7 linked regions of the Sus scrofa genome follow. The protein of the gene in region 4 binds, or shares a complex with, the protein of the main gene of each other region. Links are inferred from orthologs where the notes say so. Each region holds a gene or a part of one and is shown on either strand. Other genes may lie near its edges. The genes, in order: POLR1E, UBTF, POLR2F, ZNRD1, POLR1B, RRN3 and TAF1B.

The links.
Region 1: ZNRD1 (region 4) and POLR1E share a complex: the UniProt entries of both Homo sapiens proteins name them as parts of the RNA polymerase I (Pol I) complex. The link is inferred for Sus scrofa from reciprocal best matches to the Homo sapiens genes POLR1H and POLR1E.
Region 2: ZNRD1 (region 4) and UBTF share a complex: the UniProt entries of both Homo sapiens proteins name them as parts of the pol I pre-initiation complex. The link is inferred for Sus scrofa from reciprocal best matches to the Homo sapiens genes POLR1H and UBTF.
Region 3: ZNRD1 (region 4) and POLR2F share a complex: the UniProt entries of both Homo sapiens proteins name them as parts of the pol I pre-initiation complex. The link is inferred for Sus scrofa from reciprocal best matches to the Homo sapiens genes POLR1H and POLR2F.
Region 5: ZNRD1 (region 4) and POLR1B share a complex: the UniProt entries of both Homo sapiens proteins name them as parts of the pol I pre-initiation complex. The link is inferred for Sus scrofa from reciprocal best matches to the Homo sapiens genes POLR1H and POLR1B.
Region 6: ZNRD1 (region 4) and RRN3 share a complex: the UniProt entries of both Homo sapiens proteins name them as parts of the pol I pre-initiation complex. The link is inferred for Sus scrofa from reciprocal best matches to the Homo sapiens genes POLR1H and RRN3.
Region 7: ZNRD1 (region 4) and TAF1B share a complex: the UniProt entries of both Homo sapiens proteins name them as parts of the pol I pre-initiation complex. The link is inferred for Sus scrofa from reciprocal best matches to the Homo sapiens genes POLR1H and TAF1B.

Annotation. Positions count from the first base shown.
Region 1 is NC_010443.5:238,196,304-238,200,458, reverse strand, and holds the start of POLR1E (DNA-directed RNA polymerase I subunit RPA49), read right to left. Parts: upstream 2,801-4,155; 5' UTR 2,712-2,800; coding exon 2,636-2,711; intron 1,774-2,635; coding exon 1,670-1,773; intron 504-1,669; coding exon 427-503; intron 1-426. UniProt on the Homo sapiens protein: Component of RNA polymerase I (Pol I), a DNA-dependent RNA polymerase which synthesizes ribosomal RNA precursors using the four ribonucleoside triphosphates as substrates.
Region 2 is NC_010454.4:18,993,515-18,997,014, reverse strand, and holds part of UBTF (nucleolar transcription factor 1), read right to left. Parts: intron 2,168-3,500; coding exon 1,992-2,167; intron 1,975-1,991; exon of another isoform or gene 1,690-1,974; intron 1,429-1,689; coding exon 1,345-1,428; intron 1,248-1,344; coding exon 1,092-1,247; intron 1-1,091. UniProt on the Homo sapiens protein: Recognizes the ribosomal RNA gene promoter and activates transcription mediated by RNA polymerase I (Pol I) through cooperative interactions with the transcription factor SL1/TIF-IB complex.
Region 3 is NC_010447.5:9,914,922-9,918,940, reverse strand, and holds the start of POLR2F (DNA-directed RNA polymerases I, II, and III subunit RPABC2), read left to right. Parts: upstream 1-1,219; 5' UTR 1,220-1,331; coding exon 1,332-1,351; intron 1,352-3,035; coding exon 3,036-3,105; intron 3,106-4,019. Other genes in the region: C5H22orf23 (UPF0193 protein EVG1), read right to left, coding at 595-898. UniProt on the Homo sapiens protein: DNA-dependent RNA polymerase catalyzes the transcription of DNA into RNA using the four ribonucleoside triphosphates as substrates.
Region 4 is NC_010449.5:22,625,663-22,629,670, reverse strand, and holds the start of ZNRD1 (DNA-directed RNA polymerase I subunit RPA12), read right to left. Parts: upstream 2,801-4,008; 5' UTR 2,668-2,800; intron 2,555-2,667; 5' UTR 2,535-2,554; coding exon 2,399-2,534; intron 2,175-2,398; coding exon 2,074-2,174; intron 1,737-2,073; coding exon 1,627-1,736; intron 1-1,626. UniProt on the Homo sapiens protein: Core component of RNA polymerase I (Pol I), a DNA-dependent RNA polymerase which synthesizes ribosomal RNA precursors using the four ribonucleoside triphosphates as substrates. Can mediate Pol I proofreading of the nascent RNA transcript.
Region 5 is NC_010445.4:43,957,284-43,960,783, forward strand, and holds part of POLR1B (DNA-directed RNA polymerase I subunit RPA2), read right to left. Parts: intron 1,898-3,500; coding exon 1,616-1,897; intron 513-1,615; coding exon 379-512; intron 1-378. UniProt on the Homo sapiens protein: Catalytic core component of RNA polymerase I (Pol I), a DNA-dependent RNA polymerase which synthesizes ribosomal RNA precursors using the four ribonucleoside triphosphates as substrates.
Region 6 is NC_010445.4:7,569,191-7,573,408, forward strand, and holds the start of RRN3 (RNA polymerase I-specific transcription initiation factor RRN3), read right to left. Parts: upstream 2,801-4,218; 5' UTR 2,735-2,800; coding exon 2,646-2,734; intron 925-2,645; coding exon 819-924; intron 1-818. UniProt on the Homo sapiens protein: Required for efficient transcription initiation by RNA polymerase I (Pol I). Required for the formation of the competent pre-initiation complex (PIC).
Region 7 is NC_010445.4:126,583,524-126,587,559, reverse strand, and holds the start of TAF1B (TATA box-binding protein-associated factor RNA polymerase I subunit B), read left to right. Parts: upstream 1-1,236; 5' UTR 1,237-1,335; coding exon 1,336-1,353; intron 1,354-2,677; coding exon 2,678-2,776; intron 2,777-3,314; exon of another isoform or gene 3,315-3,438; intron 3,439-3,444; exon of another isoform or gene 3,445-3,576; intron 3,577-4,036. UniProt on the Homo sapiens protein: Component of RNA polymerase I core factor complex that acts as a GTF2B/TFIIB-like factor and plays a key role in multiple steps during transcription initiation such as pre-initiation complex (PIC) assembly and postpolymerase recruitment events in polymerase I (Pol I) transcription.

The sequences.
Region 1 (4,155 bases), on a different chromosome or scaffold from region 4:
TAAGTTAACGATGTGGTGAAAATTAATGAAGGTGATCAAAAAGTATAAACTTCTGGTTGAAAAAATTTTGTAATTAAGTATGGATGTTAGCTAGACTTACCATGTTGCCATTTTGCAATATGTACATATATTGAATCATTGTTATACACCTGAAACCAATGTCATATGTCAATTAGCTCTCAGTTAAAAAAACTCATCAAGATTGTAAATAAATGAGATTTTTAGGAAATTAAACAAATCTAAGTCACTTTTCATTTTCAGGAATGTCTACATGCTGGTGTGAAGGCCACTGGGTCTGGGAACACAGAAACTTGAGAAACCTCTCTAGATTTCCCCCATTGCCCCTAAAATAAAGGCAGAGAAGAGCAGTGCCAGGGCTGCCGCCACCACCCTCTACTCCCCGCAATCCCTTTACCCTGTCCCTACCTGCAGAGAGTGTTGCATTTGAGGGCTCCAGTCCCAAAATTGTTTCCCACATAGGAAAGTCTGTCTGTTTCAGCTGCCTAAAATGGAGAGGGGGAAAGTTCCATTACAACCAATGCTGAAAGATAATAAATATCTTGACTTCCCACAGCTGAGCAACCTCAGATACAGAAGCTTTAGACTCCAAACCACAGTAGATTAGAACAGGGAGAGCCTCTTTGAGATGATCCAGCTCCACTATCTTTAAGTGAATTTTGGGTGTCCCTGGGGAAAAAGCAAAAGGATTTTTGAAAGGGAAGCCCCAGGTATTGCTGGCTTCCAGCTAGGCCAGAAAGTTCTTGGTGGAGCTTGGGAGAGTAGCTGAGCACGTAGAGGCATGCAACAAAATGATCCTGCAGGCAACCCCAAAGTCTAACCCCTTCTTGAACCTCTTTGCCACCTCTTCCATGACTGTTCCTTACATGCTCCCAGGACCATGGAAATGGCTAATATACTCCTCAATCATAGCCAAGTTTTCCTGCTTCCCCATGTTTGTCCTTGGTGTCCTCTTCACTTGGAATATTAGCCTCAGCTGTCAAACCTTCCTCCATCCTTCAGGGCTCCAATGCATCCTGCCACAAGAAGGCATTCTGGCAAGCAGAGCGCACTTTGCCCTGCTCTGTACCCTCCCTCCCTGGAATCCTGAACTTTGTCTCCTTATGTGTAAGTGTCCCCTACATCCAGTTCTCACTTCTCTAGATCAGTGGTTCTCAACCCAGGGAAATACCCCTATGGGGACATCTGGGAATGTCTGACATGCTATTGTCACAACGAGGAGGTGCTAGGTATATTTGGGTAGAGACCAGGGAAGCTGCTAAACACCAGGGATGTGCAGAACAGTCCCCACAACAAAGAATTATCTGGGTCAGAAGGTCAGTCGTGCTGAGATTGAGAAATGCTGCTCTAGATTATGAGCTCCCTCCGGGTGGGGCCATGTCTGACTTAGTTGTCTCCCTAGCTGCTTACGGCCCAGAGCCACAGTGGGGGTTCAATAGATGGTTGCTGAATGAACAAATGAATAAAGGGCTATCATTTCACCATAAGTGTGAAACTGAATGGAGCCTGCTCCCACACACCAGCCTGCTGGGGCTCAAAGTTCTTTAAGGCTAATCTGCTATCCCCTGCTTTTCTCCTCTCACTCCCTTCCACACCCAAGGGGCCTCCTGAAGCCTGCAGAGTGGAGAAAACAAGCTACTGCAGCACTTACCAGGATCCGCTGACTCCTCTTCCTGGGGTTTGTGGAATCATTGCTCTTGTACAAGGTGAAGCGCATGTTGCCTGGATTCTGCAGCTTCCCATTGGAGAACTGGACTGTAAGATTGTAGCCCAGGAATGACATGAGAGCAGAAGGACCAAGAGAGTATGATGCAGAGGAAACAGACAGTCAATGAGAGGGAGTGACTGAAGGAATGGGGATGGCAAAGAGGCCCAGGTCCTGGCCCAAAGGAGGTTTTTTTTTGTTTTTTGTTTGTTTTTTGTCTTTTCTGGGGCCAAATTCGCGGCATATGGAGGTTTCCAGGCTAGGGGTCTAATCAGAGCAGTAGCCACCGGCCTACGCCAGAACCACAGCAATGCGGGATCCGACCACCACCACAGCTCACGTCAACGCCGGATCCTTAACCCAATGAGCAAGGCCAGGAATCAAACCCGCAACCTCATGGTTCCTAGTCGGATTCGTTAACCACTGAGCCATGATGGGAACTCCCCAAAGGAGGGCTTAAGGAGATCCGGATCCAGGTGGGAAGAGGATGGGGAGGGGATGGGAAGGTAAGGGGAGGCCTGAGGAGAGAGGGGCTTCGACGGGAGGGAATAACTAGGGGAAATGGGACTAACTGACGAGGCCTGGACCAGACCTAAAAAGATAAAGAAAAATTCTGCCCAATGGAGGAAAGTAAATGGAGCAGGTTTGAGACTTGATGGGTGAGGAGATGACCGGGTCTAGAGTACTGGGAAGGGGTAACTGGTAAGGCCTCATTCAGCGGGAAGGTGGTGACAGAAACGCGGTGAGATGACAGAGGAACCCTGGCCGAGCCCTAAGTAGCAGTAGAGCCTGGAAGGGATCTGGCCCAGCTGAGAAGGGGGACGGACCAGTAAGGGAAGACGAGGGCTGTAGATACCGAGACAGAAAGGGAGGAAGTTACAGGGAGCTCTGCTCCGGCTCCGCAGTCCTTACCCAGTAAAGCTCTCTGGCTCTCTTCGGGGTCTCCACAGTACAGCCACCTTGCACTCGGCAACACCTCCGCCGCCATCTCGCCCTTCTACCGCCAAGCACAGGAGTTAAGACAACTGCGTCCGCTAGGTACACGCGGGTGGAAAAAAAAAAAAAAAAAAGGCAGGGCGGAAGAGGCGTGGCCTCTCCGGGCACCGCCCTGCGCACGCAGAGATGCGTGGCTCCGCCCCCATCAGGCCCGGCCCCTAAGCGCTGTCTCGCTGAGCTCTGAGGCGGGCCATCCCCTCTCACTCTTCGCCCGCCCCTCCGCGTGGAGAGGCGGGGTCTCTGCGCTCCCTATGCCCCGCTCCTTCCTCCGCAGCAAGGCGCAACACGTGATTGGCCCAGCACTCGGCCTGCTCTTTACAGGTCGTGTGCCGCTAGGGAGCACACTACCTTCAGGTCTTGCTTTAGCGCATAGACGGGTTTCTTCGCGGCTGAGTCTAGGTAGGGTATGGTCTATCTCTACCACCGAGGCAAATAAGTCTTACTGACGCCTGAAAGTCCAAGTTCAAATTTAGAATTTTTCGATAGGCAATCCTTGCACGCTAACTAAATGTGGCGACTGGCGGAGACCGGCCGCTTTCCAGGACCTCCATCCACACACCTGGATATCAATCCTTAAGCCCAAACGTGATCCACAATCCTGTAAACAGTAACATGACCTCATCTTCTCGGACCTTGGCACAGTACCACCTGTGGTTCAATCAACTCTGAGAGTATGGACCAGTGGGAGAGGCCCAGCAGACTCAAAGCTTCTGGGGTGGACAAGAAGGGGGAACCAGAAGGCATGGTCCTTTGTCCCCGCGGATTCAACCCTCCCTACCGCATGGGGAGTTATTAGGCAAAAAGGAGGATTAAAGCAGATCTTTCAGCATGGGCCCAGGCTAGGACCCGTTTTTCTCAGTCAAAGGAGGGTACTGTTGAAGGGAAAGAACCAGGTTGACTCATCTGTGTTTTCCAAATTGCCTTCTTTTGAGACTTCCCCTCCCCCTGCACGTACTTCCAAGATGATCTAAAAAACATTAACACCTGGGAGTTCCCTTCGTGGCGCAGTGGTTAACGAATCCGACTAGGAACCATGAGGTTGCGGGTTCCGTCCCTGCCCTTGCTCAGTGGGTTAAGGATCCGGCGTTGCCGTGAGCTGTGATGTAGGTTGCAGACGCGGCTCGGATCCCGCGTTGCTGTGGCTCTGGCGTAGGCCGGTGGCTACAACTCCGATTAGACCCCTAGCCTGGGAACCTTCATATGCCACTGGAGCGGCCCAAGAAACGGCAAAAAGACAAAAAAAAAAAAAAAAAAAAGATAACACCTGAGCTCTCCTTTTTCTGAGCAAGTCTTTTCTAATTACCAAATCTCAACTTACAGAAAAATTGCAAGTACAGTGCAAAGAAATTTTCTGGCCCTGAACTTTTTAGAGTAAGTTATCAACCTGATGCCCCATCACACCTGAAGACCATGTATAGTATTTCCTACAGACAAAA
Region 2 (3,500 bases), on a different chromosome or scaffold from region 4:
GAACAGGCCCAAGGCTTATGTCCCCTAGGCTGGCGCCCTGTCCACTCAACAACGTGGTCTCTTCTGTCCCTTCTTGGTCCTGAAACCCCCGGCCTATCCCTCCCATCCCCTGAGGATGCCTGGGTGGCGTGTGTACAGTCAGCTCTGGGATGTCCCCATCACAGGGGTCAAGAATGGCTCCAGCCGCTCACACTCCGGCTCGGCTCAGGCAGCAGCTGCCGACAGCTGGATTTACCCAGCCCAGCTGGCTCCTTTTTTGGGGTACAGAACCAGCGCCTGAGCCGGCAGCCAGAGCGCACAAACCAGGAAAAGGGCTAAGCGCTGGTGCCCTCCTGAGAGGTGGCCGCGTGCAACTGTCTCCTCTCCCAGCAAATGGGCCTTCCTGCCTCTCTCACTGCCCCTCACCAGTGTCTCTCCCTGGCTCCGACCCACTGGACAGCATCTCCTGTGTGTCCCCACTGCAGGTGCTGAGCTCCTGCCTCTGCGAGGGACTGGGAGACCTGCTGTGTGGACTGTGTCCACCCTGCCTGGCAGGCTGGGGCAACCTCCACCCAAGGGTCACAGCCCCAACGGTCTAGGACAGCACGAGGCCCCAGGGCACAAGGTGTGCAAGGGCAGGGAAGCCCATCCAACCTGTGGATGTGGCAACGCAAAGAGCAGTAGACAGGGAGCCTGAGCACTAAACCGGAGTCCTGCTCTAGCCTCGCTGACTGGGACCTGATAACTCCAGCACCCTAGTTCCTTGCCTGCAAAATCGGGATCATCCAGTCTCCCAGAGTGACCTTTACGAGCAGCAAACGAGACCGTGTTGGGAAAATGTCAGGCGTGAAGGGCTGTGCGGGCCTAACAGTGAGGACTCGTGTGAAACACCACCACGGGCTGCCCGCGGCTAAACCGAGCGCCCGCCTCGGTCCGGGTGGCACGGACGGTGTGGGGCCAGGGAGGGCGATCAGGGGTGGCCACCCGAGGCCCTATTCTGCTCTGCTGACCCCCTCGCGCCCCTGACGCCAGGTCCCTTGGTCTAAGCCCTTGGCCCCCCAACAGATGACCCACGCCACGCCGACTGCTCCCGGCCTTTGCCCTCCCCCCACCTTCTTCTTCTCGGGCAGCTCCTTGTATTTCTTGGACAGAATCTTGGTCAGGTCCAGGTTGCTCATCTCAGGGTGGAGTTTTGCGTACTTGGCCCGCTTCTCCATGAAGAAGCGGAAATAAGGGGTCAGGGGCTTCTTTGGAAAGTCCGGATGTTTCTGGAAGGAGGGACAAGGACACGGCGAAGGTCAGACGCCATCCGATCTTTAGACCTGGCCTCTCCGAGCCCTGGCGCTCCTCCTCCTGGAAACTCACCTTGAGTTTTTTGCCTTTGTAGGGATTTTTAACATGTTCCTGAGCATCGAGGATCAACTCTGTCAACGTTCGGAACTTCCTCACCTGGGGGAAGAAGGGAGGTGAGCAGAAGGGGACGGTCCCAGGAGGGGACCACCACGCAGGCGCCGACCCTCGTTTTCCCCACGAGCCTTCTCTACGTTCCACTAGGCTGAAGTTACCAGAGGAGGAGGGGCAGAGGCCAACAGCCACACTGCTCAGGCGGCCCGGACACCCAGGCCGACACCCAGGCCCTGGCCCGTGCTTCCTGCAGAGGCCCAGGCAGTCAGAACACACCACAGGACAGCAAAAAGGTGACCACCTGACCTCGGAATGGTTGTCCGTGCCAGCACCTCATTCAATCCCCAGAACAGCTCAGACGACAGACGCTCCAAGACGGTAAGTATTCAAGGCCACACAGCTAGAAAGTGGCAGAACTGAGAAGTCTTGGCCAGGGCTGTCAACCGTGCCACCTCCCGAAATGCACAAGGGCGACCACGCGAGCACCTCGCCTGGTCTCTTTCCTTCCTGTTTATAGACTTCTGTTTCATCTCTCCCACCAGGAAGGCTGAGGCAAAGGTATGGGTGGATGTGTGCTCAGATGTGTCAGGAAGGGGGGGATCAGTTACCTCGTTAGAGATCTCCACCCATTTGAGCTTGCACATGTCTCCCGAAAAGTCTTTAAAGGCTACTTTTTCCCAGTCCATATGCGACTCAGTGGTTTTGAACTTGGAGCTGTCATTGGATGGAAGGTTGTTCTTCATGCATTCCAGCAAAGTCAGCATGTCTTCCTGGGACCAGCGGTCTGGGGAAGGGTCGGAACGCCCATCACGCTGCGCTCATGCTAGCCCCCAGCTGCTCCCCAGTCCTTAAGCAACCCTTCCTTGCCAGAGCACCCCAGACCCTGGTTCTCTTCCCTCTGAAGGCACAGACACGACACGACCTGGCCCTAAGCAAGAGCTGCGGCCACCTGGGTTAAAGGGGGAACTCCGGGCGGGACAGCATCGCATCTAGAAATCACCCTTGGACTCAAGTCTGGCTTCCTTCAGAGCTATTATCATTTCTACCATGCTACCTGCCCTGGGCCACAATTTATTAGACGGAAGGGGGCGGGGGGAAGCTACGGTGACTTGGGACCCTGCTGGAGAATAGCTAGCTTATTGCAGAGGGAGGGGAAGCAAGAAGGCCACGCATCTACCTAAACATGAAGCTTAGTTCGATCAAAGTTCTAGGTGAAGATTCTAAATGCGCAGACTGAGCAAGCGGTATGGGCAGTAAGGAGAACCCATGCAGATGTTTCTCTCCAGCGCAGCTGGAAACTACCATGAGAAACATGAGTGATGACCCTACCCTCCCTCTTGAGGAAGACCCAAGGAGAATGTGGGGCGAGTAAACAACTGAAAGAGCCAATATAGGGCAGCTGTGAGGCAACGCAGGCAAAGGCTCCCAGGGCCCTGCTCCAGCGAAGAAACCCCAGAGCCCGGGAATTCTGCGTTGTCTTCCTAGCTCAACTTCCCGTAGAGGCAGAGAACAGGGTCTGGCCCAGCCTTTTCCAGCCACTGAAAAATGCAGTTCCAGTGAGGCTCCTCTGGAGGATGGCCAGCCTGGAAGGTGAGCTGGGAGCACAGCCATCAAAGGGGCTGGGAGCACAGCTAGGCGTCAAAGGGGCTCTTCACCTGCATTTACATCTGGTGACCTGGGCCAGGGTTTCCAGGACGGGGTCACGGAAACCCATGAACCTGTCTTCTCAAGGTCTCACAAGGATTGCCAGAGGCTCAGATTCATCCTATCCCCTGCCTCCTTACACACTGGAGCCCTATGGGCTGGGGTGCTAGGTGAGGTAGGGTGGAGCTATATATCTTGAGACCTCAAGCCACCAAAACACCCTCTCTGGCCAGTGTGCCTCACCAAAACCCTTGTCCCCTTAACAATAATAAAAAACCTCAAAAGCCTTCTCAAGCCCTCTCATCTCCCTCTCCTTCATGTTCCTCATCTCTCTCCCATTCCCCGACATTGCTGAAGACACTCTGGGTGATGGGAAGCTCCAAAGGAAGACTTCCACACACAGGGGCCTCCTTCTTTCTCTCCAACACGAGGGAACAGAGTGTGGAAAATACAACTTAGAGGCTCAAGACCGA
Region 3 (4,019 bases), on a different chromosome or scaffold from region 4:
TACAATTGCGAGCCAAAACAGGCACCGTGTCCTGATGGGAGTTCATGAACTAGAAGGGCAGATGGATGTTAATTCAACATGAATTCATAGGGACACACAAGGTATCTGACTACAGGTTACGCTAAGCCCAGTGAAGGAAAAGGCACTGGGAGTGTGTGGGCACCTAACGGTTGGTTGCACTGTGTTGGTGGTGGGTGGGGAGGAAATAAGGCTTCTCTGGAGAAATTGAAAGTGTGATATAGTATGTGTCACTGGGTCACCATGCTGTACAGTAGGAAAAAAAAAATTGTATTGGGGAAATAACAATTACAAAAAAAAAGAATAACCAAAAAAAAAAAAGTGTGATATAAGGGATGCATAGCAGTTAACTACTCTAAAATTCGTGAGTTCTTTGACTTTTGGCCACTTTCGAGTTGCAGGACCCCCAAACTTTCCTGAACCCCAGGCTTCTTATCTGAAAAATGAAAACAGCAATTGCAAGCCATAAGTCATGCAGGTGAGAACTGAGTTACAGAGGTTAACAGTGACTACCGCTCTCCTTTTGTCCTTTCATGCACTGACACCACCGCCCCGCCCCGCCCGACCACCACTGACCTCTGAGCAGCTCGCAGGTTCTTGGGGTGTAAGCGGCCGGCTTGGGGCAGCGCCAGAAGCCAGTTCCTTTGGTCACAGTCTCCACCCTCTCCTGGGAAGCCATGGGAGGGCTCTGAGGAGGGAAAAACGCGACGACACACCCCCTGTCTCCCATATACAACCTCTGCTTCCGCATCCCCAACACCACCCAAAGTTTGGGTCTGGCGGGGGCGGGGCCCGCAAGAGAATCGTGACGCCGCCCATCAATATCGCGACAGTGCCCAATCCTCCCACCCGGAACAGATCCACTGGCAGATACACACATGCGAACAGAGACCTCATCCAGACCCGGCGCCTGTGGCAGGGAAGCCACCTCTGGAGGAAAGGGGCGTTAGGGTAACCTTGCCCGTTGTGTGATAGACCCAAACGGAAACCTCACTCTTAGGTAAGACTCCGGCTGGGTGCCCACTGAGAGTGGCCGCTAGGCTCTGAAGGAGCACCCGCGCCGGAGCCCTGCAGGAATGCTTTTGAGATCTCCGCTGCTCAAGCTCTGGTTATACACTCTGGCTACCATGGTAACAAGCTCTAGCTTCTCGGCGCGTGCGCACTATCGCCCTGCCGATCCTCCCGGAAGCAATTGCCTCTAGGTCACAGCGCAGGCGCAGAGTGCGCGTGGCGCAGCTCGTGGCGGAGGCGCGCAGTTTGCGGGTCTCCGCGCGACTCTTAGCGCAGAACCAGGGAGCTGCGGCGCGGGCGTCATGTCTGACAACGAGGACAAGTGAGTGCGGGAGCAAAGTGAGCTTTGCCGAGCCTGGTCAAAGGAGGTTAAGGAGCCGTTAACCGAGGGGCAATGCGTGAGGGGACTGGGGGTATTGAGGGGCCCGCGGAGCTGAAGAAGGGAAAGGCGGGGGGACCAGGAGCTTAGACCTGGTCACAGGCTGGGCCAAGAAAAGCCCCAGTTTGAGGATCCGGAGAGAATCAGTGAACGTGGTATCTTTCCACAAACTTTCACGGAGTCGGGCTCTGTCTCTTGATTTGGAATTACTGAGGTGAATTAGGCATAGCTCCTGCTCTTCAGGTAGGGGGCCCTTTCTAGAAAAGGGGACAGGCCCACAGACGGATACTGCAGGGGTCGTGTGAATTGCACGAAGTATGTAAAAGAAACCCAGCGGAGGGTCTGGGGAGACTTGAGGTGGTAAAAGTCTGGGAGGCTTGCGGTAATCCAGGAAAAAAAAAGGAGTGACTTGTACTAGGTAATCGTAGTAGAGGTAGTGAGAAGTGGTTTTGATTTCTGGGTTTATTTTGAAGCTAGAACCGGAAAGATTCCCTGAATGTGTGGAGGAGAGACAAAAATAGAGGCGTCTTTAGCATAAGAGTATTAGTCAAAGCTAAGAGAGGGGGCGATCATGGGGAGGCGGCAGGGGGGTGGGTGGTCAGTAGAGAAGAGGAGATGAATGAGCGTCAGAGCATCCTAACTGTGGAGTGCCTGGAGGGAAGAGAAGCTGAGAAAGAGCCACTGTGAGGCGGGGGAACACCAAGACCGCGAGGTGTCCTTTTCTTTCTTTCTTTCTTGGTCGCCCTTGTGGCATCTGGAGTTCCTGGGCCTGGGATCAGGTCCGAGCCACAGTTGTGACCTATGGCACAGCTGCAGCAGTGCTGGATCCTTAACCCACTGTGCCGGGCCAGGGCTCGAACCTGTGTCCCAGTGCTCCAGAGATGCTGCCAGTCCTGTTGCGCCGCAGCGGGAACTCCAGTGGAGAGTGTTTTGAGTGAGAGGGAGTGATTCGGTGTGCCACCTGACAGATCAGGCTAAATGAGAACAAGAATAGACCAGTGGATTTAGCAACGTGCAAATCATTGATGAACTTGAAAGGAGTGGTTTTGGTGGAGCCAAGGAGCTGAAAGTCTTTGGGAGTGAGATGATGACAGAATGTGAGGAGAAGAATTGGAAATGGCGAAGATGGACGACTCTTTCATGAATTTTTCTCCCACAGGGGGGCATGGAAATAGGGCTCTGGAGGGAATAGAAAAGGAAGCTTTGGCGTTCCTGTCATGGCTCAGTGGTTAACGAATCTGACTAGGAACCATGAGGTTGCAGGTTTGATCCCTGGCCTTGCTCAGTGGGTTAAGGATCCGGCGTTGCCATGAGCTGTGGTGTAGGTCACAGATGCGGCTTGGCTCTGGCATTGCTGTGGCTCTGGTGTAGGCTGGTGGCTACAGCTCTGATTAAACTCCTAGCCTGGGAACTTCCACGTGCCGCGGGTGTGGCCCTAGAAAAGACAAAACCAAAAGAAAAGAAAAGGAAGCTTTGTTTTAGTAAGTTGAGGACATCAAATGACTTAATAAATTATTATTATAAAATGATTTACTCAGTAAGTGCATATTTATTGAGCACCTCCTGCTTATCAGATCTATGCCCTCTTTGATTCTTGTAAGTGATGCTCTGCTTTCTTCTTGTACAGTTTTGATGGCGATGACTTTGACGATGTGGAGGAGGACGAAGGGCTAGATGACTTGGAAAATGCCGAGGAGGTAAGTGTTTAGCCTTGGGCTCTCCTCTCGGCAGCCCAAGTTGCCAGATAGCCCGGCCAGTGATGACTGAATGCATCTGCTTCTTGTCTGTAGTGAGGCCAGTTAGAGTGAGGAGAGGTCTAGTCCTGGGTGGTGGAGGTGGCCCGCAGGGTGGGCCTGAAGGATTTTGTCCACTTGGACCACAGCCTGTAGCTTCTGGGGTGGTTAGTTTACTGACAGGTGAAATATCCCCTTCATTCATTGAGCAAACATGTGTTGAATGTTTATTGTGTACCAGGAGCGCTGCAGGGTGGGGCTACATAAAGAGCAAGGGGGAGAGTGACCTGGAATAAAGCTGGAGAGGTAAGGGCCAAGGTCAGGCAGGATGTTGTAGCCTGCAGGTGGTGGGAAGCCACGGACAAGTTTTGAGCTGGGGAGTGGCATGGTCCAGTTTACACTTTAAAGGAACACTTTGGGGAGTTCCCGTGGTGGCTCAGTGGTTGCAGGTTCGATCCCTGGCCTTGCTCAGTGGGTTAAGGAGCTGGCGTTGCTGTGAGCTGTGATAGTAGGTTGCAGATGCAGCTCGGATCCTGCCTTGCTGTGGCTCTGGCGTAGGCCGGCTGCTACAGCTCTGATTAGACCCCTAGCCTGGGAACCTCCATGTGTCGCAGGAACGGCCCTAGAAAAGGCAAAAAGGCAAAAAAAAAAAAAAAAAAAAGGAATACTTTGGGGAGGAGCAACAGTAGGAGAGGCCAATTCAGGAGCTCTCACGGACCTCCAGGTGAGACCTGTAGCTGGCACTTGGGTGCTGATACTGCTGGAGATGAGAAAACGGATGCAAGAGATATTTTGGTAGATTGGATGTGGGCTGAGAAAGTGGGAGATGCCGAGGAAGACGAGTTTCTGGTGAATGAGTTACTAGCTTCATGGCTAAA
Region 4 (4,008 bases):
ACAGTGGGTTTGAGAATTAACAGACATAGAACATAAATATCATGTTTAATGTTTACATGTAATATGTTTTATGAATAAAAAGAACCACTTAAAATATGATTAAGGAATTGGGAATTATTAAAAATAACTAAGATGATTTGAAAAATAATCAGGATTTCCCTTGTGGTGCAGTGGGTTAAAGTCCAGCACTGTCACTGCAGGGGCTAGGGTTTGATCCCTGGCCCAGGAATATCCACATGTTGCCGGCATGGCCACAAAAAAATCAAACAGAACTAAAAAATCTATCCAGAAACAGCATAAAGAGAAAAGAGATGGAAAATATGGGAGACAGGGTGAGAGAAATGGAGGATAGAAGATAAGGCCTAATAAAGAGCTAATCAGTTAGAACTCTAAGAATATGAGAACTGAGCATATGAGGGAAATATTCAGTGTGATAACAGCTGATAATTTTCCAAGGTTGATGGGGGAAAAAAGGTCAACCCTCACTGTTGGAAGGCCCAACACATCCCAAACAGGATAAATAAAAGAAAGCCACATCTTGATAGATTGTAGTGAAATTGAAGGACACCAAAGACAAAGAGGAATTCTTAAAACTATGTTTTAAAGAACCCATGTTCTGGGAGTTCTCGTCGTGGTGCAGTGGTTAACGAATCCGACTAGAAACCATGAGGTTGTGGGTTCGATCCCTGGCTGCTCGGTGGGTTAAGGATCTGGCATTGCTGTGAGCTGTGGTGTAGGTTGCAGTCTTGGCTCGGATCCCACATTGCTGTGGCTGTGGCGTCGGCCAGCGGCTGCAGCTCTGATTAGACCCTAGCCTGAGAACCTCCATATGCCTCGGGAAGCGGCCCTAGAAAAGGCAAAAAGACAAAAAAAAATAAAGAAATAAAAATAAAGAACCCATGTTTTTTAAATCATCCATGACTGACTCTCACCAAAGTAAAACTACCTTGAGGGCAGTGGAGGAGTCCAACATAACACACTGATCACAAACCAATACTCATTTCCTTTTAACTATTGTAAAAGGTTTAATTCACTGGGTATAAAAAGATAGGAAAAGAGTAATTATTTAAAATTTAAAAAGACCACAGAACTTCCCATCGTGGCACAGCAGCACAAGCAAATCCGACTAGGAACCATGTGGTTCAATCCCTGGCCTCACTCAGTGGGTTAAGGCTCTGGCATTGTTGTGAGCTGCGGTGTAAGTTGTGGACGCAGCTGGGATCCGGTGTTGCTGTGATCTGGCGTTGCTGTTGCTGTGGTGAGGCCAGAGGCTACAGCTCGGATGTGACCCCTAGCCTGGGAATCTCCATATGCCACGGGGTGCAGCCCTAAGAAGGAAGGAAGGAAGGAAGGAGGGAGGGAAGGAAGGAAGGAAAGAAGGAAGGAAGGAAGAAAGAAAGAAAGAGAGAGAGAGAGAGAAAGAAAGAAAGAAAGGAAGGAAGAAAGAAAGAAAGGATGGAAGGAAGGAAGAAAACGATCACAAACCTATTACTTGAACTGTACAGAAATGAAGGATGCGACCAGTCCAAAAAGTACAAAAATTAAACCACTGGATTTAAATTAAATCACGGGATTTTGGCAGCAAAGAGACCCAGAAGGGGCAGAATGGAGGGAAAGGATACGCACTTGCAGTTGGTACAGGTGTAGAAGACAGTCTGCCCTTCATCGGCTGAGCGCATCTGTCTGGTGTGGTATGCCATTCCCTCATGACCACAACGAGGACAGCGCCTGTCAACCTGGGAAGCAACTGGTAGGTTAATAATTCCCACTACTTCTCACAGACATCAAGCTACCACACTCCTCAGATACTGCTGGTTTTTGTTTTGCTGCACCTGCAGTACGTGTAAGTTTCCAGGCCGAGGATCGAACCCGTGCCACAGAAGCGACCTAAACCGCTGTAGTGACAATGCCGGCCAGATCCTTAACACCCGGCTGCACCACAAGAAAACTCTCCCCAGTCACTACTGTTTTAAAGACTCTTCTTCCCTGTTGTGTACAAAACTCTCCAGATCTGAGCCCTCCGTTTCGTTCCCACCCTCTTTACAGGGCCAGTCCTCGACGTGATTCACTTACCACGGGTCCCTGGAACTCAGGTCCTTCCTCCATCGACATAGGCATGGCTGTCCCCACTTTCTGGAACACAACTGAGGTCTTCACAACCTTCCCCTCAAAGTCTGCGCGGGCAGTAAGAATTGGTTGTGGAGACAGCGGAGGGGGCTGACACCACACTAATCCCTCTCTGTTAGGCCAGGAAGCTATATTCTACCCATCAGGTTTCGTGCCGACCAAAAGTATAAGTGCCTGATCCTGCGCTTTCGGGTCCCCGTCTTTAATCCAATCGATCTTGAGATCCCCATGGGCCCTCCTCCGCCCCAGCCGCGGCGTAGCAGCACCTCACCCCGCACGTTGATGGAGAAGCCACAGCGAGTACAAATGACCGCATCCTGAGTCCCGGGCAGAGGCAGGACCGAGCCGCAATCCGGACAGAAATCCAAGTCCGACTGAAAGCTAGAGGATGTGCGGGCGAGGTCCATGACAGACGGGTGGTCGAGGGCTGGGAAGGGGATGAGGAGTTTATTAAGAGAGTAGCCCCTTCCCCAGAGAGGTCATGCCTATTCTGTCCCTGGACGTAAGCATGCAGAACCCGAGATTTCTTCCTACGCATACCTTGTGCCTCTGTGACTAAGGAGCCCAAACTTCCGGAATCCCTATCCCGCGTCGGGTACAACTACGCTGGGGGTCTTTCCTGGGGCAGGCGAGAGGAGCAAGTCAACTTCACGGGCTAGAGCGCCGGCTCCGCGCGGGCAACCGAGCAGCGAGCGCGTGGCGGGCTAGAGAGTCCACGCGTCCCGGCTCTCGATTGGCTGTGACGTCATAATTAATTGCAACTGTGATCCCGAGAGCCTGGAGAGGGAGAGGAGCGGTTCTGAAGGAAGATTGTGGCGCCCCCTTCAGCCTGGTTCTGTTACGTTGGATACGAAAATAGGTGACGAAGCTGCGCCTGCCTCAGGTTATTTTTTCCCTTCAGGACTCAGTCCTGGGATGTTTATTTTATTGGTCTCGAATTTTACCAGGACCCAGTCGCGGGGAGCGTTTCTCCTGAGAAGTCGGACCAACCTTATAGAGTACTAATTTATTTATTTGGACTGGAGAACTGCAAACTCCAGCGGTTCCTGAATCTGCACTTCACTGTGGCGGTTGGACAGTGGTAGAAAACAAAGCGAAATATTCTGGGAGTAATTCTAGCATTCTTTGGGCCTTGCGACCCAAGCAAGGGCTCTCTGCAGGACCCGGTATGGCTCATGTGCTTTGGTGGCTGTTGCCTTGTCTATAGTGTAGATCACAGTTGCAGCTTTGATTCAGACCCTAGCTTGGGAACTTCCATATACCACAGGTGCAGCCTTAAAAAGAAAAAAGAGAGAGATCATGGTATTTGTAGATTAAAAATCATAGTTCCCACTCTTTATATGTTTAAATTTCAGCATCAAAATGTTTTTTGTATTTTGAGTTCATGTTGTGGCACAGCAGAAACAAATCCGACTAGAAACGATGAGGTTGTGGGTTCGATCTCTGGCCTCGCTCAGTGGGTTAACGATCTGGCTTTGCTGTTGCTTGAGCTATGTTTCGTTTTGTTCTTTTGTTTTTCCTTTTGTTTGTTTGTTTGTTTGTTTGTTTTGTTTTGTTTTTTGTTTTTGCTTTTTTTTGCTTTTTAGGGCTGCACTTACAGGATATGAAGGTTCCCAGGCTAGGGGTTGAATCAGAGCTACAGCTGCCCACCTATGGCACAGCCACAGCAACATAGGATCTGAGCCATGTCTGTGACCTACACCACAGCTCAGGGCAAGGCCAGATCCTTAACCCACTAATCGAGGCCAGGGATCAAACCCGCAACCTCATGGTTCTTAGTTGGATTTGTTTCTGCTGCACCACAACAGGAACTCCCATGACTGATTTTCAAATAAATTGTAGAAGTTATATTTTTTACTTCTATTTTTTACTTTGTATTCA
Region 5 (3,500 bases), on a different chromosome or scaffold from region 4:
TTGTATCTGGCATATCTTTAATATTACTTGAAATATAAAGTCTGTATTTTAGGGTCCCCTATACGCCACTAATATTTACAAAGAAAAAGAAAGTTAAAAATGTGTTAGTGAGTGGACCAGAGCCCTCAATAAAACCACCACCACAGAAAAAAGGGGGTAGTACAGGTTAAATACCTGTCACTAACCCCAACCAATGAGGTGAGTATAAGGTAAGATGCTGGCTGCCACCAGAGAGAATGTAAAAGGCACTTTTGGGATCAGCTTCTGGCCTCTAGAGCCCTTGACCCTGGAGAAGGCCCTGGGGCTTCCTTGACAACAAGAAAAAGACCAAACAGCTAAGATGGAGGGACAAAACACCTCACAAGAACTCAAGAGCACCTTAAAATGTCGGAGGGAGTCAGCGATGCTAGGAGCGAGCTCCTTGTCTGCCCAGCCAACCATGACGCCATCCAGGAGGACAGGGTAGCACTCGCTGTACCGCCGATGTGGTGCACTGTCCACGGGAGTGACCCCTGGGGAAATCGAACACACAGAACCATCACCTCAGGCTCCTTTCCCCAACATTTAAATTCCCTCCAGATGGGTTCAATGTCGGCATCACCATTTTAGACATCTAGGCATCTTATCTCTAAAGCAGAATGTTTTTGTATTCTTGAGTAAATTTCTAAATCATTTCAGCAAGGACCCCCCAAATTGCGTGTCTGCAATTGCCCCTAGAGAGCACCCTGCAGACAGGGGTGTAAGGGAGGCTTTTTACCATACACTTTTTTATTTCTGAGCCATGTAAACATACCAACTTCTCCCCAAAAATCTAATTATAATTGATCTGCATTATTCACGCAACACAAATCTGCCTACTTGCTAAAATTTATTTGCAACCCCAGCTTCATACTAGTGGCACTTTTCCGATCACCAGAGGACATTCAGTGAAAATTTTGAGTTGTCTGAGACACGAATTCCCAGCTGAGGTCAAAGGAGGTGACGTGCAGTTTGCCGGTCTCAGCTAATACTATAGACAGACATCCTTCCCATGGTCTGTCCCAGGCCCTATTTATTTATTTTTTGCATCTTTGTGCTTTTCATTGGAGACTTTGCTATTTAAAATGGCCTTCAAGCACAGTACTAAATAAAGTCCTGGCTCCCAAGCACAAGGCTGGAAAACTGTGTTAGATAAGCTCAGAGTTATGGTGCTGTTGGCTGAGGGCTCGATGTTAGTGGATCAACAATATATATTGACTAAGGCATCTTTAAACAGAAACACAAAACAAGGCTATGTACCAATCAAGTGAGGAAGGTGTTATGACAAGAGACTTGCAAGAACCTAATCCCTGTTCCCCCAGAAGCAGTACCTCAGTATCTGCTAATTCAGTGCCAATGGTGACTTTACAGAAGTATTGCAATTACCAAGAACTTTAAGAACACTCTTTCATGAGCCATAAACACCTTCTGAAGACAGCAGGTGTTTCCCCAAATGTCACAGGTTATCCCCAATGCTTCACTCATCATCCCTGCAGGAATTCTCTGCTCAACTCACGCAGAAGCACAACTTAGTAGCTTTGCACCTGCTAAAACCCCCACAAGCACACAGGCCCGCTGATGGCTGTGCCCCACCTACCCAAGCTGCAGAGCAAAGCTGGAATAGAGGCTGTATACACGAACTGGGTGACGACCTCGCACGTGGCGGTTAAGTGGTTCATCAGACCACAGGGCTCCCCATCAGGGGTATGCACGGGGCAGAGGAAGCCCCAGGACTCTGGCAGCAGCCTGCGCACCGTGGTCGTCCGCATCTTGGCAAAATCAGCCCCTCTGTGCACACAGCGGAAGTGGGAGAGGTAGCGTATGAAGTTCAGCTTGTCAGCCACGACACAGAGTCCAGAATCCTGCAGGAAGCCAAGACCTTCATAAAACAAAAATCATCGAAAATTTGTATTGGAGGTGATGAAAAGATGACAAAACCTCAGAGCACAAACCTAAAGATCACAAAGTGGGTTATTACTGAGGTTACTCAGCTCTGGTAGAAGAAGGGGTTACAAAAAATAGCAAAAACCCCCAAATTTCACCAACTTGTATTAGCCTTGACTCTTTCCTCATCTCCTCTACACATTCTCCTTTATTAAATTAATAATACAATAGCAAGTAATTAAATGGGACTCATCTCAGAAGGCTGGATGACACACAAGCATGTCAGCTCTTAATGAACCTGCATCTGGAGTTCCTGCTGTGGTGCAATGGGATCAGTGGTGTCTTGGGAGCGCTGGGACACAGGTTTGATTCCACGGCCCAGCACAGTGGGTTAAGGATCTGGCGTTGCCACAGTTGTGGCTGGGATCTGATCCTTAGCCTGGGAACTCCATATGGCATGGCCAAAAAAAGAAAAAGAAAAAAAAAAAAAAAAAAAAAAAAAAAGAATCTGCATTAGAAGAACTGTTTTGTTTTTTTGTCTTTTCTAGGGCTGCACCCGCAGCATATGGAGGTTCCCAGGCTAGGGGTCTAATTGGAGCTGTAGACACCGGCCTACACAACAGCAACGCCGGATCCAAGTTGAGTCTGCAACCTAAACCACAGCTCACGGCAACACCGGATCCTTAACCCACTGAGCAAGACCAGGGATTGAACCTGCAACCTCATGGTTCCTAGTCGGATTTGTTAACCACTGAGCCACGAAGGGAACTCCCATAGTTTTTTCTTTTTTTAAAAAAAAAGCAGATTTCTGGGCTCTAACCATTTTTTAAAATTTTCCAGTCATTCTGATGTAACTGGTTTAGGGAAGGGCATGTATACCAAGCCTCCTAGACTCCCCACCTAGGTAACCTTTCCTCAGAGCTAAGCTGTCTTTAGTTTTCTAGAAGGAGGCATAGAAAACGCATGTGACCATTAAAAATAGAATAAAGCTATACAGACAACTTGTCTACAGCCTTTAGGCCAACATCCACCTATCAAAATTTGTAACCTGAAATCCGCCTTTGATGAAGTTCATTTTTTTTTTTTTTTTTTTTTTTTGCTTTTTAGAGCCACACTTGTGGCATATGGAATTTCCCAGGCTAGGGGTCAAATTGGAGCTGAAGCTGCCAGCTTACACTAGGGCTCACGGCAACACTGGATCCTTAACCCACTGAGAGAGGCCAGGGATTGAACTGACATCCTCATGGGCTAGGTAGGTTCATTACTGCTAAGCTGCAATAGGAACTCTCAGAAATTCATTTTTTTTTCTTTCCTTTTTTTTTTTTTTTTGGTCTTTTTGCCATTTCTTGGGCCACTCCCACGGCATATGGAGGTTCCCAGGCTAGGGGTCCAATTGGAGCTGTAGCCGCCAGCCTACGCCAGAGCCACAGCAACGCGGGATCCGAGCCGTGTCTGTGACCTACACCACAGCTCACGGCAACACCGGATCCTTAATCCCCTGAGCAAGCCCAGGGATCGAACCTGCAACCTCATGGTTCCTTGTCGGATTCGTTAACCGCTGAGCCACAACGGGAACTCCTCAGAAATTCATTCTTAAA
Region 6 (4,218 bases), on a different chromosome or scaffold from region 4:
AACTATTACAAAAAAATGCATCGTGATATATGTATCTGTATAAGTGATTTACTTTACCATACACCTGAAACTAACACAACTTTCTAAGTCAACTATTCTCCAATAAAATGTATTGGGGAAAAAAAAGATCCTAGATTCTAACAAGATAAACACACATATAAAAAGAACATTGTAACATTCATACATCAACTGGAATTACAAATCCTGACTACGAAAATTTTAAAACTTATGTTAGTGAAGCTAGTGGGCTAGAAAAAAAGAAAATGACAACTCAAATGCAATTTATCTTTAGGTGTACTTGTGTACTGACATTTAAATATGAAAGTGAATATGCTACATAGAGATATATATGCAAGTTGCATATAAAAATACATAGTCCTGATTATTTTCCCTCCATTGCTGACATACAGTAGAATCACTTCTAAACTGATGCAAAAACAAACCAAAACCAAAACCCTCATCAACAAAGCTGGTTTGTGGCCCAAAGCAATGCTTAGGTAACTCCTTAAGAAATAAAATGCCCTGATCTAATGATTTTTTAATTCTACCTCTTGCCAAAGTTTTAAAAAGATACTATACAAAGAAAGCATTTAAAGATCTGTAACAGCAAAGGGGTTACTACTCTCTGAGCTGACAGCACCAAGCTGCTGTGAAATATCTGATTTCAATATTGATATCAAATTCATCTTATCTGTCCTGTCTATCAGATTATAGCTATAGCTGTAATCTGACTAGCAAAAATAAAACCTCAATATGTCAATTTTAATTCAATAAAGGTGAGGAAAAAACTCACCAAACCTCACATTATCCCCTCTTACCTTTTTGTATTTCAGCAACACTTCTGTCACAGTTCCACCAAACCGAACGGTTTTTCTTGGGGGAGAAATGAAGAAATCATTCTCTAGTGCAAGCATATCTGAAAGCCTATAGAATGAAGATTATCAAGCCATTAAAGTGCTTGACAGGGAACAATAAAATATATAATAACCAACATTTACTGGACCATCATCATCCGGGGGGACTACTGCTGAAGTCCCCTAACTGGCCTCCCTGCCTCTCCTTGAGTCCCCCAACAATTCCTCATTCAGTGATCTAAAGATCTTTCAAAAAGACAGATCAAGCTATCCAACTCTCCTGCTTAAATTCTCCAAAGGTTTCCTACTTCACTCAGAATAAAAAGTCTACACTCTTTACTGGGGGCTTTGAGGTCCAACATTAATCTGGCCCCTGCCTACCTCTCTAACTTCATCTCCAAACACTTACTGCAGCCAGAGTCTTTTCTGTTCTTCAAACTCACCAAGCAGATTACCATTTTACTTATCATTACTTCTATCAGAGACACTCATTTTCCAGATATGAACCTGGTGGGACCCCTGTCTTCACTCAAGTTGAAGCTCAAATGTCAGAGAGGGCTTCCCCATCAGAATTCTAAAGTACTCATCCTTTCTTTCTCCCCTACCATCATCCTGTTTTATTTCTTCACAGAAGTTTCCAGTATCTGAAATCATCCTGTTCATTTATTTTTTGTCTTCCCTTCCTCACACTGTAAGCTCTGCTGAGAGCAGGGACACTGTCTCTTTTGATTGACTACGATCCCCCATGTCTAATACAGAAAGCAGGCACTTAAGAAATATCATGAATGATGCTATGCCGAATGTAAGTTTGTTTCTTTTAAACACAGTAGATTAGTGAAAAACATAGTATCTTGCTAGTGACTCTCAAAGTTAAACCCCACAGTGTTTCACCAGGATCAGGGACTTTAAAAGTTGACTAGGATAAACACTGTTAAACAAAAGTGTGTCAAAACAAATTTCAGGGGTTCCCATTGCTGCTCAACCAAAACGAATCTGACTAGTATGCATGATGACGCAGGCTGATCCCTGGCCTCCTTAACTCAGTGGGTTAAGGATCCAGCATTGCAGAGAGTTCTAGACCGCAGATGCGGCTCAGATCTGACATGGCTGTGGCTGTGGCATAGGCCAGAGGCTGCAGCTCTAATTCGACCTCTAGACTGGGAACCTCCATATGCTGTGGGTGCGGCCCTAAAAAAGACAAAAAATAAAATTAAATTAAAAATTTCAAAAAAACTAAAAAAAAAATAAAAGGCAGTATGCCATTAGTGATGGCATTCAGCTGATAATCCATATAACCCAGGGACTAAATCTAAATCTAACCAAGGAAGTTCCCTCTTGGCTCAGCGGGTTAAGGATCCGGCGCTGTCACTGCTGTGGCTCAGGTCACAGTATGGCACGGGTTCGATCCCTGGCCTGGGAACTTCTACAAGTCGCAAGTGCGGACCAAAAAAAAAAAAAAAAAAAAAAAAATCTAGTCCAAGAAGCAGGTGGAACGAGTAAAAGGGTAGAATGCCGTACCCAGGCCTGGGACGCTATTGAGCGAGCCCAGTAAGAGGGAGTCCAGGGAGGAGCAAAAGGAACTCTGGAACAGAAAATAAGTTCATATTTCCAGCCCCTCTCCCACCTTTATTACCCACCTAAGGGACATGGGCTCCCTATTGAGAAACTGAACTGACCCTGTTCCCTCTGTTCCCACCCCCCACTCCTTTTCGGACCCTTCGGATTGCTCCCCTAATCCCGGTCCTAGGCTTTGGTCCCAGACGCGTAAGAGCAAGCGCCCCGGATTCTCACCCTGTTCTAGACGCGCCCAAGGTCTTGACTGCGGAGGCCGAGGTGGCAGCATCTCCGGGAAACCGCGTGTGAAGCAGCGGGGCCGCCATCGGGCCGGACAAGCGCGACGATTGCAACCTGCGCCGGAAGTCTTGTTTCTTCTAAGACCGCCTCCGTCCAGGAAGACTCGCGTGAGAGCTGCGGCCGTCAGCCAATCAGGAACCGCAACTGGGGAGCGCTGAGTGAGCTCGGCGAGCTAGAGCGCCACCAATGCGGTCTCCTCCAAGCCCTGCATCGGGCCCCTCCTTCTGCCTGGAGGACTTTCTCTGCCTAGCGAGGTGTTGCGCTGAGGGCGCCTCCTGTACAAGTAGGGGAGGGATTCGTAGGGCGGCACAATCCAGCCTCCAGGGTCCCAGAGAAGGGGCGGGGACACCGGCAAGTGCTAAGCCGTGGCTAGGTATTAAGCTTTTGGAGTCAAAACATCCGTCAGTCAAACTGAAGAACCCAAGGACCCGTGATTAACTCAAACCCGCAAAGAGATGGTGCCGTCCAGGGTTGGAACGAGTCGGCTCGATCCACAGGAAGCTGCTTCCCGTTACCTGCTGGCTACCCTCACAGACGCCCAAACTAATCTTATCCTCGCGGAGACAGGCTTGACGAAGCGGCTTACCCCTATACCTCAGAGCTTATCGTGATGCTGGGATGAGAAATCAAAGAGTGAGAGGAGACAGTTTCCAAAAGACATTAGCCCTTGAACTTAAATTTTTAAAGGAGGCACGGAGTTGGCCAGACCATAAAAGCAGGAAAGGGTCTTACAGGCATAGGGAACAGCAGGTGCCAAAGAAGGGTGGGTGAGAAGGAGGCAGAAGGAAAGATGGACTGCCCCTCCCCTTAGTCCTCCCCTCTCAGTTTCTAAGAAGGAAAAATGTTGCAACCTTTGGAAACTGTATAGAATTATATCAAAAGGACATTAAACCAGCTACAGCAATTTGTTAAATGTAAAGCGCTGTTCTGTTTTTGCAAAGGTGTAAAATCAGTGACTAAATATCTATGGTGGAAAAAAATAAACATTATTGAATAAACTAAAATCAGTAACTGTCTTTTGGCTGTCCCCAACCATTTCTTCCCTCACTACTTTATAGAATTCCTGCGAAACACTGGGCAGAAGTCATCAACGTCCCAAGAGCAGAGGAAATTGCACCCTGCTCACAGAGATGTTCAAGAGAGCTGTTTAAGTGGGACTCGCTCTCCTCCGCCCCCAAAGCAGAGGGGAAAACAAACAAACGAAAAACCTCACAGTTCTTTGCACTCTCAGTCAGTAGTTTAACTGTACTCTCCAGCAATTTGACAATTACTTTAATCTTTTATTTTTAAAAAAGTCTTAGATGTACAAAAGAATGTATGTTAATCCGACTAGAAACCATGAGGTTGCAAGTTCAATCCCTGCCCTTGCTCAGTGGGTTAAGGATCTGGCATTGCCATGAGTTGTGGTGTAGGTCACAGGTGCGGCTCGGATCCCGAGTTGTTGTGGTTCTGACGTAAGCCGGTGGCTACAGCTCCGATGAGACCCCCTAGCCCATGAAACTCCATATGC
Region 7 (4,036 bases), on a different chromosome or scaffold from region 4:
AGCCATGTCTGAGACCTGAACCCACTGAGATCAGGGATCAAACCTGCATCCTCTCGACACTGTGTCAGGTTCTTAACCTGCTGAGCCACAGTGGGAACTCTATCCACCTCATTTTCTAGTCTCCCTTTAGCTCATGGTTCCGGCCACTCACTGACCTCCTTGCTGACCCTTAAATGACAGCCATGAGGCTCAGGTCCAGGGCCTGGGTACTTACTGTTCCCTCCTCCTGGAAGGACAGTCCCAACATGGCTCTGGCTTCCTTGCCTCAAAGGTCACCTTCTCAGGGAGACCTTTCTTGCCGCTCCATTTAAAATCAAAACCACCTTACAGCGCCCTTTCCTTTCCTGCTTTATTTTTCTCCTTGGCACTCATGCCCATTTAACATACTGGGTACTTTATTTGTGTTTCTCTCTCCCCATCAGAATATGATCTCCATGAAGGCAGGAACTTTTGTTTACTTTGCTCACTGCTGAATCCCCAGAACCTAAAACAGTGCCTGGTTGATGAACAAACCAAGAAATGAATGGCCAATGAAGGGACAACAATAAAGCTAAATTTAATGAGCATTTACCATCTGAAGCTCATTTAGAGGAGAGTCACAGGGAATAACTAATTTTACAGCGGAGAAAACTGGGGCACAACGAGGCAGAAAAGCCGTGATTAGAAACCCAGGTTTAACTCAAAAACCTGTTTCTTTCTTCCAGAACCTGGTGTTTCTCCTGTGCTGTCAAAAGCCAGAACGAAGTGAAGAGCCGGGTCCACGCGTGGGAACGCGGGGGAGCCGGATTGAATGAGAGCGGCCTGGGATGAAAGGCTGTCTGAACAAAGAAGGGAGTGGGAGGGATCGGGAGCTTGGGGTGATCGGATGCAAACTATTGCTCTTGGAATGGATTTACAATGAGATCCTGCTGTGTAGCACTGAGAACTATGTCTAGATACTTACATCGCAACACGACAATGGGAGGAAAAATTATGTATACATGGATGTGTAACTTGGTCCCCATGCTGTACAGTGGAAAAAATAAATAAAATTTTAGAAAGAGAGAGAGAATGGATCCGCTCAGCTCCATGGATCAGCTCCGTCGGCGCCGCCCACTTTTTTACTGATGGGCTTTAGTTACTTGGACTAGAACAGGGATGCTGTCTGGGAGGGTGATGCAGGATTAGCGGAGCTTCAGCCTGGAGCTGGCCGAGCCTTCCCGGAGCCGCACGAGCCGGAAGCTCAAAACCAGGGTCTGGGTTTCTGCCCGGAGGGCTTTTCCGGCCGCTCCCGGAAGCCGCGCTCGCTGCCCGGGTAACGGGCCCCGCGGCGGAGTCGGCGGCGCCCGCGCCGCTATGGACCTGGAGGAGGCGGTGAGAAAGCCGTGTGCTGCGCTGGCCGGCCGAGCGGCGGGGCGGGAAGGGAGGGAGGCTGAGAAGGGGCCGGAGGAGGCCGGCTGGCTGTGCGGGAGGCCCCTGGCCAGAGGCGGGCGGGGCGGGGAAAGGGATGGGGCTGGCGGGCCACGAGGGCGCGTGTTTGTTTGGGAAAGAGGCCGGAGTTTCTTGCTCGGCGAGATTTTGGGTGAAGCGGGGGTGGGGCGTTAGTCGACGTGGGTGTGTTTCGGGAGAAGGATGGAGTTGTAGGTTTTGGGGGGTGGCCACCCACGTGGCTCATCCTCTGGAGACGGGACCACCCACAGTTCTCCTTGATGCTGGAGGCTGGGCGAGGGGGGCTGGGGTTGGAACCCGCTCGCCCCCAAGGAACACCTGCGGGTCCCTGGGAATCCTCGCCACGGTCTGGTACAAGGATTCCAAATACGGGTTTGGGGGCGCTCAGAGGTTATGGTAGTTATCAACCTGGGGGGTCACTGAAAACTTGACCAACTTGTCGAAAGAAATTTGGCATGCGTCTTGACACACTACCTAAAATGTCACTCTGACGGTATTAAAAAAAATTCGGTCTTTGGATCAACGGTAATAAGACTTCAGACACCAAAGAGTTGGGAATCAGTTTGGTGCCAGTCTATATATGTACAGCAGCATTATGGTGATAGAAGGTCTTACTCATTGTAGCTGCTCAATCAGTGTTTTTTGAATGATGAATAGTTAACGTTTATAAACATTAGTTAATGAGATTAACAAGTAGAACTCACCCTTAGCCTGTATGGCTATGAGTAGAGATTATAGCTCTGTTTTGATGAATCCCCAGCACCTCGTTAAGTGCCCACTACATACGGAGTTGGTACTCCTTAGATTCCCGAATGAACAAATCGAAACTTGAAATAACCCTAATAAAACTCTGGCTCCTTTGTGGTATTTGCTCTTAGTATCCTGGAGGAAGTTTAAAATGATACGCTATTTCTATTTTTTAAGTCTTCTCTGTCCTTAAATCTCGGCAACTCTTTCCTCACAGCAGTTTCAAGGAGTTTTGTTCACCTTTTTTTCCTTCTCTTCACCTCTACCACCCTTTTTTTTTTTTTCTCCCTCCCCCTGCGTATTTTAGAAACATTTCTCTAATGGTTCAATCCGGTTTCAAACTGCTCAGACGAAATGCCTGTTCTTCTTGATTATAAATCTCTCTGGTATATTTTCTGTTTTGGATGATTCTTTATTTATAGAGTAAAAGGGCCAGGAGTCCTCTCAGTAGAACTGCAGGATTTAGGAATGATGTATTGAATGTGGTTTTCTTCTCCTACAGAAAGAGTTCAAAGAACGATGTACTCAGTGTGCTGCTGTGTCTTGGGGACTTACTGATGAAGGCAAATATTATTGTACTTCTTGCCACAATGTTACAGAAGTAAGTAACAGATCTCACTTATGAATTTGTTTGTGCTTTAAAAAGTGCAGTTTCAGGAGTTCCCATTGTGACTCAGTGGAAAGGAATCTGACTAGTATCCAGGAGAACGCAGGTTCAGTCCCTGGCCTCGCTTGGTGGGTTAAGGATGCGGTGTTGCCATGATGTGGCTCAGATCTATTATTGCTGTGGCGGTGGTGCAGGCCAGAGGCTACAGCTCTGATTCGACCCCTAGTCTGCGAACCTCCATATGTCTTGGGTGCGGCCCTACAAAGACACAATAAAAAATGAAAAAATGAAAATTGCAGTTTCAGCCTAATAATGTGGCATAGTTATTTTTATCACTCAGACAATGCCCAAATTCCAAGAATGTAAGCAATCCTCAAGTGCTTACACAAGGATTAAAGAATTTGTAAAGTAGATTTAGGATGAGCTTTTGAAATTACATTGGGCCATATATATGAATATTTTCCCGATCCATACTGTATAGTAAGGGGAAATAATTAAAATTGCACCTAAATGATACATTTCTTTTTATTAGTTAGTACTTCTTTAAGAGTTCGTAATGCGTTGTTTGGAGATGGAATCTTAGAAAGATTAAGGACTATTGGAAGTGTTGGAAACATGCTTCGTCATCATTATACCCTTGTGCAGTGCCTTACTCAGTAAGTTGTGTTTTCTTGTCTGTTGATCCGTTTCCTCCTCTGGATAACCTGTGAGCTACACTGTTAATGCCCGTGTCCGTAGGTGGGGCGAGTAGGCTTGTCCGTCAATGCCAACCTCACGTAAATAGAAACTGTTGAGTAAGTACCTGAACGAGGGCTTCCAACTCCAGTGTTCATTTTAGTCACCGTATCTGCCTCGTAAGACAGAGATTGGTTGCACCAGTTTACATGCCCACCAAGAGTGTGGGAGCGTTCCCTGTTCTCCACACCCTTTCCAGCATGTATTGTTGGCAGACTTGTGGTGATGGCCATTGACTGGTGTGAGGTGATACCTCATTGGAGTTTTCACCTGCATTTCTCTAATAATTAGTGATGTTGAGCATCCTTTCATGTGTTTTTTGGCCATCTGTCTGTCTTCTTTGGAGAAATGTCTGTTTAGGTCTTCTGCCATTTTTTGATTGGGTTTTCTGTTTGTTTGAGGTAAAGCTCCAGGAGATGTTTGTCTGATTGAGAGATTTATCCCTTAGGGGTCACTTTGTTTGCAAAGATTTTCTTCTGTTCTGTGGGTTATTAGAGACAATCATGCTGAGAGAAGTAA